2 linked regions of the Arabidopsis thaliana genome follow. The protein of the gene in region 1 interacts with the protein of each later gene in a pairwise test. Each region holds a gene or a part of one and is shown in the gene's direction. Other genes may lie near its edges.

The links. The genes of interacting proteins can lie anywhere in the genome.
Region 2: the proteins of AT4G02725 (region 1) and WNK3 interact in a protein complementation assay, tested with the Arabidopsis thaliana proteins (one large-scale study listed by BioGRID).

Annotation. Positions count from the first base shown.
Region 1 is NC_003075.7:1,201,990-1,208,316, forward strand, and holds AT4G02725 (spindle pole body-associated protein), read left to right. Parts: upstream 1-2,023; 5' UTR 2,024-2,555; coding exon of another isoform or gene 2,556-3,824; 5' UTR 3,825-4,065; coding exon 4,066-4,337; intron 4,338-4,863; coding exon 4,864-5,005; coding exon of another isoform or gene 5,006-5,011; exon of another isoform or gene 5,012-5,217; coding exon 5,218-5,301; 3' UTR 5,302-5,447; downstream 5,448-6,327. Other genes in the region: AT4G02715 (flocculation FLO11-like protein), read right to left, coding at 181-798; AT4G02720 (Ras-induced vulval development antagonist protein), read right to left, coding at 2,556-3,824; WDR5b (Transducin/WD40 repeat-like superfamily protein), read left to right, coding at 5,770-6,327.
Region 2 is NC_003074.8:17,871,992-17,877,209, reverse strand, and holds WNK3 (with no lysine (K) kinase 3), read left to right. Parts: upstream 1-1,679; 5' UTR 1,680-1,989; coding exon 1,990-2,058; intron 2,059-2,131; coding exon 2,132-2,169; exon of another isoform or gene 2,170-2,273; coding exon 2,274-2,501; intron 2,502-2,579; coding exon 2,580-2,803; intron 2,804-2,882; coding exon 2,883-3,040; intron 3,041-3,123; coding exon 3,124-3,289; intron 3,290-3,442; coding exon 3,443-3,571; intron 3,572-3,659; coding exon 3,660-4,198; 3' UTR 4,199-4,390; downstream 4,391-5,218. Other genes in the region: CYP71A26 (cytochrome P450, family 71, subfamily A, polypeptide 26), read right to left, coding at 1-639. UniProt on the Arabidopsis thaliana protein: May regulate flowering time by modulating the photoperiod pathway.

The DNA of each region.
Region 1 (6,327 bases):
CAATCTGCACCAGGAGATCCAGTAACTGCTGACAAACTCCGAGTCAAGACTGCTTACGTATTCCTTTACCATCACCATTAAAAGCTAAGAAACAAACTCAAACCAGCTTGGTGACTAACACCTTATTTCTATGTGCATAAAACTAAAACTAACCCCGTTCCCCCTAAAGGCTCCTGATCTTCATTCATCTGCAGTCTCAAGCTCAAGATTGAGCATGCGACGCAGTGTCATAGTGGCAGAGACAGTACTACGAAAAGGATTGTCACCAGATGAGGTTGGAGAAACTGGTGCAGACTTAGCAACTTCACGAATATCAACAGCAGAGTCAGGAGCAGGAAAGGTCAAAGATACCGTCCTCTTTTGCTGGAGAGAAAACTTAGGAATCGGCACAGAAGCAGGTGGAGGTGAGTTAGAGTAAGTAGGTCCTGCCCATAGCTCAGAATAAGAAAGGCTTCTCCTTTTGTCAACAAACTCACTAGAACACCTACGGATCTGAGAACCTCTGCAATTAGCAATTGGAATGGGACTGGTTCTACCACTGTCAACAGATGGATGATGAAAAACCGGTAAAACGGACTTAGGAGAACGAGGAGACTGAACTTGAGAAAGAGCTCCTTTGGTTAAAGGTGTTGAAGAAGTTCTCTTAGGTCTTGGAAGCAAACCCACACCAGATTGAAAAGTTCTGCAATTGATCTGCCTAAAAGTTTTGGAAGGAGCTGATCTAAAACGATCATGTCCAAGAGATTTCTTCCCATAATATTGATCCCTATGTTCCACAGCTACAATAAGCGTTTCCATTTCGAGATACTGTCAACAGTAAGAAGCTTTCACTACAACAACACACACCTAGTCGCTTAACTAACGCAAGAACACTTTGTGTATCTGATCAAAATCAAAATCTTTTCACTCCTTTCTCAATCAAAGCTTGATTCAAAGGGAAAGCCTTGTTGATAAACCAGTAAGCGTCTCTGAAGCTCACAGGATCCGAAACCCAGCTCGTCTCGAAAAGCTGAAACAAACAATTGCAAGCCAGAGAAATGGGGGAAAACCAAGTAAATCATCACATACAAAGAAACAAAGCGAAATGAAAAGATCAGATCCTGAAAAAAGGAACATATAAGACAGCTTCCATAGAGAAATTCACCTTTAAAAAGAGGTCCTTTTGATAGTGATTGGTGAAGAATCTAAAGACGATTCGCTTCAGATCATACAGAGAGAGAAAGAGGAAGCTCTAGAAATGATTTTTATCTTCACTAGCGGATGAGTGATGTGTAAAAGAATATCTTCTAGGGTTTTTAAGCCTCCATGGAAATGAAGATCCTACGGATCTGAGAAATGAGCTTGATAGAGACGAAGGAGAGAGAGAGAACAGAGCAGTTGTCTTTAAGTAGGCACAGTTACTTCATGAGTCTGCTGAATTGAAATTACATTAATACCCTTTACTATATTCAGTTACCATTTTGTCCTTCACGTTCTTTACTTGAGCAGAGTAATAATAATTAAACTATTTTATAAACAAAGCAATTAAGGATCACTTAAGCGTCTTGCTCATAAATTAATTTAATTATCATTCGTTTCGTGCATGAGAAGAGGACCTTTACATGACATTTCTTTGATAATTTTTTTGTTTTTAAATACTATTTTTAAGCTTTGAATAGTAATACGAAAATGCTAATCTCCTCTAAATTGAACAGATGTCGTTTTCTTTGTCATTCAATTCTTAACCAAAATCATTTTGCTTCTTTGAATGATTTATATGTTATTATTTATGAAACGAATAATAGATTATGGACTAGGTACTTGGTAGGGTCTTCTATTGAGATAGTGCATTTATTGAGAACAGATTCAGACATTGTATAGTTCCACAAAAGTGGAATCATAAACTATAATTGGAACCCTTGCAGGTAATTTACCAATAATATGATCTGCCTGCAAATTCGGATATTATTGCAAATTTTATCTGCCTCCAAATTCCGAAATTATTGCACTTCACAATTATAGAGATCCCCAATAATATATATAAGTACTTGTTTTGTTTCACAGTTCTAAAAATAGAATGATGATAATAATGGTGACAATGATAACATTGATGATGATATGACTGGATTCTTAACAGACAAACGCAATGATATGAATACAGAGGGAGGAATGCATAATCTGTGAAGCTCATTAAAGGACATTATTCGAAAATACAGTGGTGGGCTCAAAGCGGATATCCTAAATAATTGATTGTTCTACAATCTCAGAACTAAGTGAATGCCCTGCAAAATTCAATCATCGAACATGACCTAAGGTAAATGCACAAGAACGGTTGCAGATCCTCAGTGTCAGAATCTATTATCTTTGACACACAAACACAATCATGTGATACATAGCAGATTAACGCATAAACTATGAAGCTCATTAACGGATACATAGCAGATTAAAGCATAAACTACGAAGCTCATTAACGGGCAAGTAGCAAACAGCAGTATCTATGATGCAAATAAGGAACATTCAACAAGATAAAGCATAAGATGAGTACCCACATAACAGAAGCAGGAAGCCAAGCAAAATCAATCATCATCTTCTTCAGTCTTTCCAGCACCGAAAGGGTCATGATTTGGCCCCACCTCTTCTCCCATATGGCGCTGCACAAGCCGCTGCAGATCAGACATAACCTTAGCCTCGCGCTTCGCCTTCTCCTCGTAGTTAAACATGGCCAATGCCCGTTTGTCTTCAGCACTGTAAACCTGGTTTTCTTTTCTAATACGAATAGCATTCATCCTTTGATGCCTACTTCCACTCATCACATAACCAAGATCCTCAAACTTCTGAATCTCTTCAGCGTTAAGACCCACTTCTCCTCTACGTGGGATACGTTTACCTTGCTGAACATACTGTGCAATGGCGTCTCCTTCACCGGGTCTTAAAGCACCACCATAACTGATGTGACCTTCAGCTTTAGGTAATGGCATTGGACCAACATCACCTTCTTCTTCCTCTTCATCAACAGCTGAAGATTTCTTCTTTAATTCAATCATCTCTTTGAACTTCTTCAACTCTTCTTCATCAAGTTCTAGCTCAGTGTTCTTCACCGTTTCGTCTACTTGCATCTTCGAATCTTCCTCAGTACCATCGCTGTCACTCCCTGACTTCGTCTTCTCTCCCTTGCTTCGTTTTGAACTAGAATCCGAAGATTTCTTCCGCCTCTTGCTCTTTGACTTGGTATCTTCTTCCTCCCCAGACGAAGAAGCACTAATCTCAGCTTTACTATCTTCATCGCTGCTCTCATCAGAGTCACTGTATTTCGTCTTTCTCCTATGACTTCGCTTTTTCCTAAAACTACGGCTGCTTCTACTCTTCTTCCTCTTAGAAGAACTCTTCCTCCTTCGTCTCCTATCTTCCTCTTCCGAATCACTCTCACTCCCTTCGGATTCACTATCGCTGTCATAAGATCTCTTTCTCCTGCGCTTAGACCTCGAGCTCTTACTCTTCCTCTTCCTAGATCTCAAACCATCAGATTCAGATTCCGAGTCAGATTTACCTTTCCTTTCTTTCCCTTTCGAATTATCATCTCTTTCGCCGCCGTTCTTGTCCTGAATCTCGTCGGCGTTCTCATCGGAATCCTCGTTCTGATCTCTAGGTGGACTCGGTGTGTTCTCCCAAAAGCAGAACTTGGCTGATTTCCTCATCTTAAGCCGTTTCTGCCTCCTATACTCTTCGTGACTCAATCCCTTCAATTCTTCATCGGAATCTGAACCAGATCGTCTTCCGTTTCGATAATCTCGATCCAAATAGCCATGATTCTTCCCAAATCTCCTCGGAAGCGAGTTCATCGTCATTCTCGAATCCCTAATTCACTCCGACGACGACAATGAAGAAAACAAAATCTAAGCAGCTGTCTGATAAATTAGGGCTTTGATTCATATACAGTATCTGCGCCTTTTTACTTATTGGGCCCTTAACGAATAGGCCCAATATTTATCATTATTCACCACTGAAAATCATGTTTTGATTTTACACAAAGCACCCCACATTTTAATTAGAGTCAATCGAGTCCTCTATCCTTATCGTCGTCTTCAGATGGCAAGTCTCTCCATGTCCGCCGTGTCTCTGTCGCCGTTTCGGCCTCAAACAGAGAATCTTCTTTCAAAACTCAGTTTCCGAACGAACTTACACTCGTTCAATCTCAAACCAATAAGGATTAGTACGAAAGTTAGAAGTTTTGGTGGGAATCGGAGAGAGCCGAAGGATTCAAGATTTGTCGATGAAAAAGGCGTAGTTGATGACATGGAAGGTTTCTTAGACAATCTCTCTCTCGAATACGACTCTGTTTGGGACACTAAACCCTCTTGGTAAATCTCATTTAAGTTCCCAACAATTTTATTTCAAGTAGTTTGGATTTGGTCCTAAGACTTATGAGGAATCGTATTTGTTGGTTGTGAATATGGGATTATAGCTTAGATAGAGTCTTAAGTTCACTTTTAAGTGGACCAATCCTTAATCTTTATTAGCATTTTCAGTGATTTATGCCTGCCCAAGAACTTTTTTGAATCATATATGAAGCTATATATTTATTGATGCTACTTAAAACAAGACTTACCCCATTACAGTTTCATGATTGTGTGTTGTGGTTTAGAAGATAGAAAGAAAAAGTTTGAATCTTTTGGTTAGGAAGATAGTGAAGAACCAAAATACAGATTATGTAATGGTAATTGGGTTAAGAAGGGTTTAACATTTCGACCTCAGCATCTACAGCTTTGAATATCTATTGATCTGGTGTGTATTTGCAATCAAGAACTTTACGGTTCTTCTTAGACGTTTTCAGGGCCTAGTGTTCTTCCGTATGGTTTTGAATAAGCAACTGGCTATGTTTCTCAGGTGTCAGCCATGGACGATAATGTTAACGGGTCTATCAATAGTGGCATGTAGCTGGGTAATACTACACTCGGTCATAGTTTCATCGCTTGCGGTTGGTGTAATTGGTGCTTGGTGGTACATATTCCTTTATAGCTACCCAAAGGTATGATTTTCCCTTCCATCATCTAACAACCTCTCCTTTTCATTCCCTTACTAAAGAAATGTTCGTAGCTCTAATTTACTAAGTCTAAGTTAAAGTAAAAATCCTGTTTAAACATCTTCAGACAATGCTAGTTTCTATAATCTTAGTGAACAAGACTTTACTTTGGTCTTGTCTTTGAGATTCTGGTGGTTTTTTCGTGTACTTTGGTTCAGTCGTATTCAGAAATGATTGCTGAAAGAAGGAAACGAGTAGCTGATGGTTTTGAAGATATTTACGGCAAAAACAAGCCTTCATAGGATCTTCTCAATGTTCAAAATTACATTCGTTTCTTGCATAAATCTTCCCTTCTGTTGTGTGTATAATATAACCATCATCTATGGATTTATCTCAATTTCATTCACAGATGTTTGGATACATAAATCTTGATTTCAGAGTCCTCTAATGTAGTGGGCATTAAAATCGAATTGAACCGATTATACAAACCGAAATTAACCCAAATATACCGAAACCTCATTACTGAAACCAACCGAATAAAGTGCCTTCGAACTAAATAAACCAAACGAACCGGACCAATTTTAGTTCAACAAAATCGACAAATTCAAATCGAACCGAACCGAGCCGAAGAACCACCAATACGAGAAATGAGGAATGAAGGGTAAAAATGTAATTCCCAAGAGGTCATGGTCAACGGAATGTATATATATGTAACGGTGAGAGATTCATTGAGATCATCTCCACTCTGCTAAATCCGACGAGAGACGACGATGCCAAGCGGTGGTAACGGAACAAGTAACGGAGTCGCTAACGCGAATTCCACCGGTAACGCAGGAACAAGCGGAAACGTTCCGATATATAAGCCATACCGTCACCTGAAAACCCTAGAAGGTCACACGGCGGCGATCTCTTGCGTCAAATTCTCCAACGACGGCAATCTTCTCGCTTCCGCTTCCGTAGACAAAACCATGATCCTCTGGTCAGCAACAAACTACTCTCTCATTCATCGTTACGAAGGTCACTCTAGTGGTATCTCCGATCTAGCTTGGTCTTCTGATTCGCATTACACTTGCTCTGCTTCTGATGATTGTACGCTTCGAATCTGGGACGCTAGATCTCCTTATGAATGTCTTAAGGTTCTTAGAGGTCATACGAATTTCGTCTTCTGTGTTAATTTCAATCCTCCTTCGAATTTGATTGTGTCTGGATCGTTCGATGAGACGATTCGTATTTGGGAGGTTAAGACTGGGAAGTGTGTTAGGATGATTAAAGCTCATTCGATGCCGATTTCGAGTGTGCATTTTAATAGAGATGGATCGTTGATTGTT
Region 2 (5,218 bases), on another chromosome or scaffold:
ACTCCCCACACTAAACGTCCCCAATAGTTTATTTAGTCTCTCCATTAACTCCTTAAAATCCGTTTCACCACCGTATTTCCGTCCCAAAGCAACTTTACATATCACATCGTTAGTTAAACTCACCAAGATCTTGCTTAGATTTACCGGCAAAGAAATCGATTTCCTGATCTTTTCCATCATCAGACTGATCTCTTCTTCTCTCACTTCTCGAAAGGATCGTACCATTTTGTTGCTGAATAGATGGAGGACGCACACACTTTTCATTTGCCTCCAGTACTCTCCATAAGGAGCTGAGGCCACATCATGCTTATCGTAAAGAAGTTTCTCGAAGATTTTTGACCGTGGCCGGCTTGCGAAAACACGGTCATGCGTCTTCAAAACGTCTCTAGCCAATTCAGCTGAAGATACTACAAGAACGGGGACACGGCCAAAGTGAAGAAGCATAAGAGGACCGTACCGGTGGCTGAGAGAGCATAGTGATCGGTGAGGGTGGCGGCCGAGTTGATGAAGGTTTCCGATCAACGGTAGTCCCGGTGGTGACGGAAGTGTGTTTCTTTTCTTCCCTCTCTTCTGTTTTCTGAAAATTATGATGGTAACTACAAAGATTATTGAGCATAACAGAAAGAACATGATCATCATGTCTGGATTCTTCAAGTACATCAAAACGTGTTCTTGTGAAGAGTTTTTATTTGTGGTTTTTTTGGACTTACATATACAAGCCAAGTTTCTTCACGGTAGTACTAGTACGTAATTACTGTCCACTCAATCTTTTGGACTTATGTATTTATGCATGCACCAGTCTTTTAATGTTTAGTTCTTCGAGATTTTTCCTTGTGAAAGTCATTTGGTGCGTTTACGATTTATGTCTTATTTTGGTCGTGTCACCGTTCTAGTCTTTCGGTGCTTCCACGATGTGTCTTACCACCATACAATACAAGTGCCTAGGATAATGGTCTCAGGCTGCCGTCAGCTCTAAGGATTTATATACTCTGGGCCCAATGGGCCTTACAAAAATTTGATGATCATTGTATATAATCGGTTTTTAAACGGCTGAACCGCCAATTCATACTCATCAAAAATACAACGACAACATTGTTCAACAAACAATTCTCCATGAAAATTTAAATGTCCTAATTCGTCTCAAACATTCTGTCTCCAATATGTAAAACATTTATATTTTGAGATATAAGTAGAAGTAATAGATTATAACAAATGATCATAACATTAGTGTAGTGATTTGTGTCAGTACAAGTTTCTATTTAAAGTGTAACAACATTGAATATTTATGTTTCACCAAAAACTATGACTATTATTCTATTAATCCTGAGAGAGAGAGCAAAACCCTTTAGTGAAAAGTTTCCTTAAGTTTAAAAGAACTGAAGCTGAAGTCCAAATTGTTGTTTACACACAGTAAAATCGAATTCGTTACCATGACAAGCGGGTTCAATGGCTAAACATTTTGTAATTTACCAAACCCATTATTCGATTTGTAGGATAGTCAATTATAGGGTTCTTAGTCAGCTAAAACAGTGACTTAAGAGTTAAGAAGGGGAAAAAAAAAGTCCGAATATTTTATATTCACAACACCATGAAGTTGACTGAATAAGCAAAATAATTGATTAGAGTAACATGACAATAAATGAGAAGAAAATCAAATAAAAAACCAGATCCATGGCGCGAAAAAAGCAACGACCCACACCTTTGCCACGTGGTCTTGTCCAGTGGATCTGAGTGTCCTAAATTCGAAGATGAGAAAGAGAGAGAGTGTACAACATTCTACAGTCGACACCATTATGATCAGCAGCTGGAAAAGCTTAAGCTTGGTTTTAATGGCACAAAATCTAAATAATCGATTTATACACAAAAAGACAGCTAAGTAATGATTATTATTATTATCAGAAACTGCTTCAAAACTTGTTCTTCCTTGACTAAATTTCTCTCTTCTCTCAAGAACTCCTATCATCTGTTTTGAATTGCAAGTAACCAAGAATGCGACAAGACGAGAATAACTCCGAGGAAGAATTCGTTGAGATTGATCCCACTGGTCGCTATGGCCGGGTCTGTTCTTCTTTACTTGATTTTAGTGTTACCTTTTTCTCAATTCTAATGTTTTTGTTTCTCATGTTTTCAGTATAAAGAAGTTCTAGGCAAAGGAGCTTTCAAAGAAGTGTATCCTTTTTCTTAGATCTCTGTTATTACTACAGAGACAAATCAGATTAGATTCGGACAAGACACAGTCACTAAAGGGTTTCTTTGATCAGAGAGTTCTTCAGATACAGAGCATTTGACCAACTTGAAGGAATCGAAGTGGCTTGGAACCAAGTTAAGTTAGATGATAAATTCTGTAGCTCAGAGGATTTAGATCGTCTTTACTCTGAAGTTCACTTACTCAAAACCCTTAAACACAAAAGCATCATCAAATTCTACACTTCTTGGATCGATCACCAACACATGACTATCAATCTCATCACCGAAGTCTTCACTTCCGGAAATCTTAGACAGTCAGATTCCTCTCTCAGAAGTCAAATCAAATCTTTTTTATTTGATCAATATTATTCATGTTTGACAAACCCTTATAGGTACCGGAAGAAACATAAGTGTGTTGATCTAAGAGCATTGAAGAAATGGTCAAGGCAGATCTTAGAAGGGCTTGTTTATCTACATAGCCATGATCCTCCTGTGATCCATAGAGATCTTAAATGTGATAACATTTTCATTAATGGGAACCAAGGTGAGGTCAAAATTGGAGATCTAGGGCTAGCCGCGATTCTGCACCGCGCTCGCTCTGCTCATAGCGTCATCGGTGAGATCTTTAATCTTGTTCTCAAACGAAAAAGTTTCTCCATTGTGAAACTATAATTTTGTGTTTGAAATTGTTTAAGGAACTCCTGAATTTATGGCGCCGGAACTCTATGAAGAGGACTATAATGTACTTGTCGATATCTACGCGTTTGGAATGTGTTTGCTTGAGCTGGTAACTTTTGAATACCCGTATTCCGAATGCACAAATGCTGCTCAGATTTATAGGAAAGTTACATCGGTAAGTGATCATATTCCCATCTCATATCCAATCAAGAATGACTTTTTCCATATTGTCGATCCATTTTTCTCAATGCTTCTTAGGGAATCAAACCAGCCGCTCTTTTAAATGTGACTGATCCGCAAGTGAGAGCATTCATAGAGAAGTGTATCGCAAAGGTCTCGCAACGCTTGTCAGCCAAGGAACTACTTGATGATCCTTTTCTGAAATGCTACAAGGAAAATACCGAAAACGTCAGCTCTCACAAAGGTAATATCAGATTATGGTATTTCATTTCATCTCAATATGAAGTGTCATGGACTCCTTTCTTAAAAGTTAAAATCAATAATAGTAACATAAGATAGTTTCTATATTTTTTCTATGTGAAATTTTCTAACACCAAGTTCAATAACATTGTCACAGAAAATGGTTACAACGGAAACGGAATCGTGGATAAACTCTCGGATTCTGAGGTAGGCTTATTAACCGTAGAAGGCCAACGTAAAGACCTCAACACAATCTTCCTAAAACTACGTATCACCGATTCCAAAGGTTCAAAATCTTTTTTGCTTTTTTTATTACAAATCTTCAGATCATTACTAAATCTTCTTTTGACACAATAATAACATTTTTTATACAGGTCAAATCCGCAATATCCACTTCCCATTTAACATAGAGACAGACACATCTTTCTCAGTCGCCATCGAAATGGTCGAAGAACTAGACTTAACCGATGATCAAGACATCTCAACGATAGCTAAAATGATCGACACAGAGATACATTCACACATCCCCGATTGGACCCCTTCTCGACTTATCGGTGATGATTCAGCGGTACAAAAATGTTTGTCTTCTCCAGAGACGCTCCATTTAGATAGATTTCCTTCAGGGAGAAAATTCTGGTCCTCTCCTAAAGCTGGAGCTGGAGACTCACGTTCACCGTTTGCGCCACGGTCTAATTCTAAGTTGTCGTCAGCACAAGGACCGATCAATCAAGAAGTTGGGGTTATAGTAGAGAAACTTGAGTCTTTGTTGAGGAAACAGAGAGAGGAGATTGAAGAGATGCAGAGAGATCAAGAACGTATTGTTACTGAGTTCTTAAAAGAGTTTCCTCCTGAGATTTGTGAAGAGGCTTTGGTGAGATTGCAAGTTAAAGATTCTGATAACTTATTGTGTTAGTACGTTTTTTACATTACACACTCTCGTCAAGATTAATTTGGTTTGCAATATTATGTTGTACTAAAGGTAAGTAAATGTGTAACAAAATTGTGACAGTTATGATTGAAGGAAAACTATTTGTCAAATAATATTTCTTGAATTAGTTAGGTGAAGACGTAACTAGCTCAGAAGAGTCTGGGAGAAGAAAAGAACGCGGTGATGATAGGTCACATCACTGTGTTCTTATTCACTTGATTCTTCTGAGCTAGCCTCGTCCTCTTCACCCAACTCTTATGAACCTTACTCGTCTTCACTGGACTCACTTGCAGAGACTCTAATAAGGTTGTCTTATGATCTATGCTCGCCTCTCATAATCTTAGAAGAAGATATAGAGCGGTTCATATTTTGTTCTCTCTCGCCTATTAGGTTTAATGGGTACTGGTGTTTCTTAAATAGCGTATGCCTCAAGATAATATATTAGGGTTTCATAGATAATAAACCTAATCACCAAAACATTTGGCATAAATGGGCTAAAAGCCCAAAATTTCATAAAACTACCTTAAAACATCTTTATAGGAAAGAAAGCGTTTCAGGGAGTAAGCAAATATAAGCATATGGCAGCGTCAAGGACTCAAGGGATCCAATCAAAACTACAAAGAGCAAATAAATAATCAAAACAAAAACTGAAATAAACTAAATTCTCATACTTGTTCAGGAATTGGTTTCTGATCCGTCGAAGCATGCACTCCCTTGCTCTGCCATGAAGAAAACATTTTTCCGATCAATTCTAGGGCACCGAGAAAAGCCCTCAATTTTCATAAGAACTAAAATCGAAAAGTAATTTAAGTTAAATTGTTCTTGTTGGTAAGCGATTCCGGGACTGGACCCAAATATCTGGCATAAATGGGCTTAAAAGCCCAAGCCAGAATAAACCAACTTGAAAATATCATATCACAGCATTAAAACGCAGCGTTTCAGGAGTTAAACCCCTAAATTTTCAGGAAAATTGCATTTTTGCTTAAACCCTATTATTGTCACTTT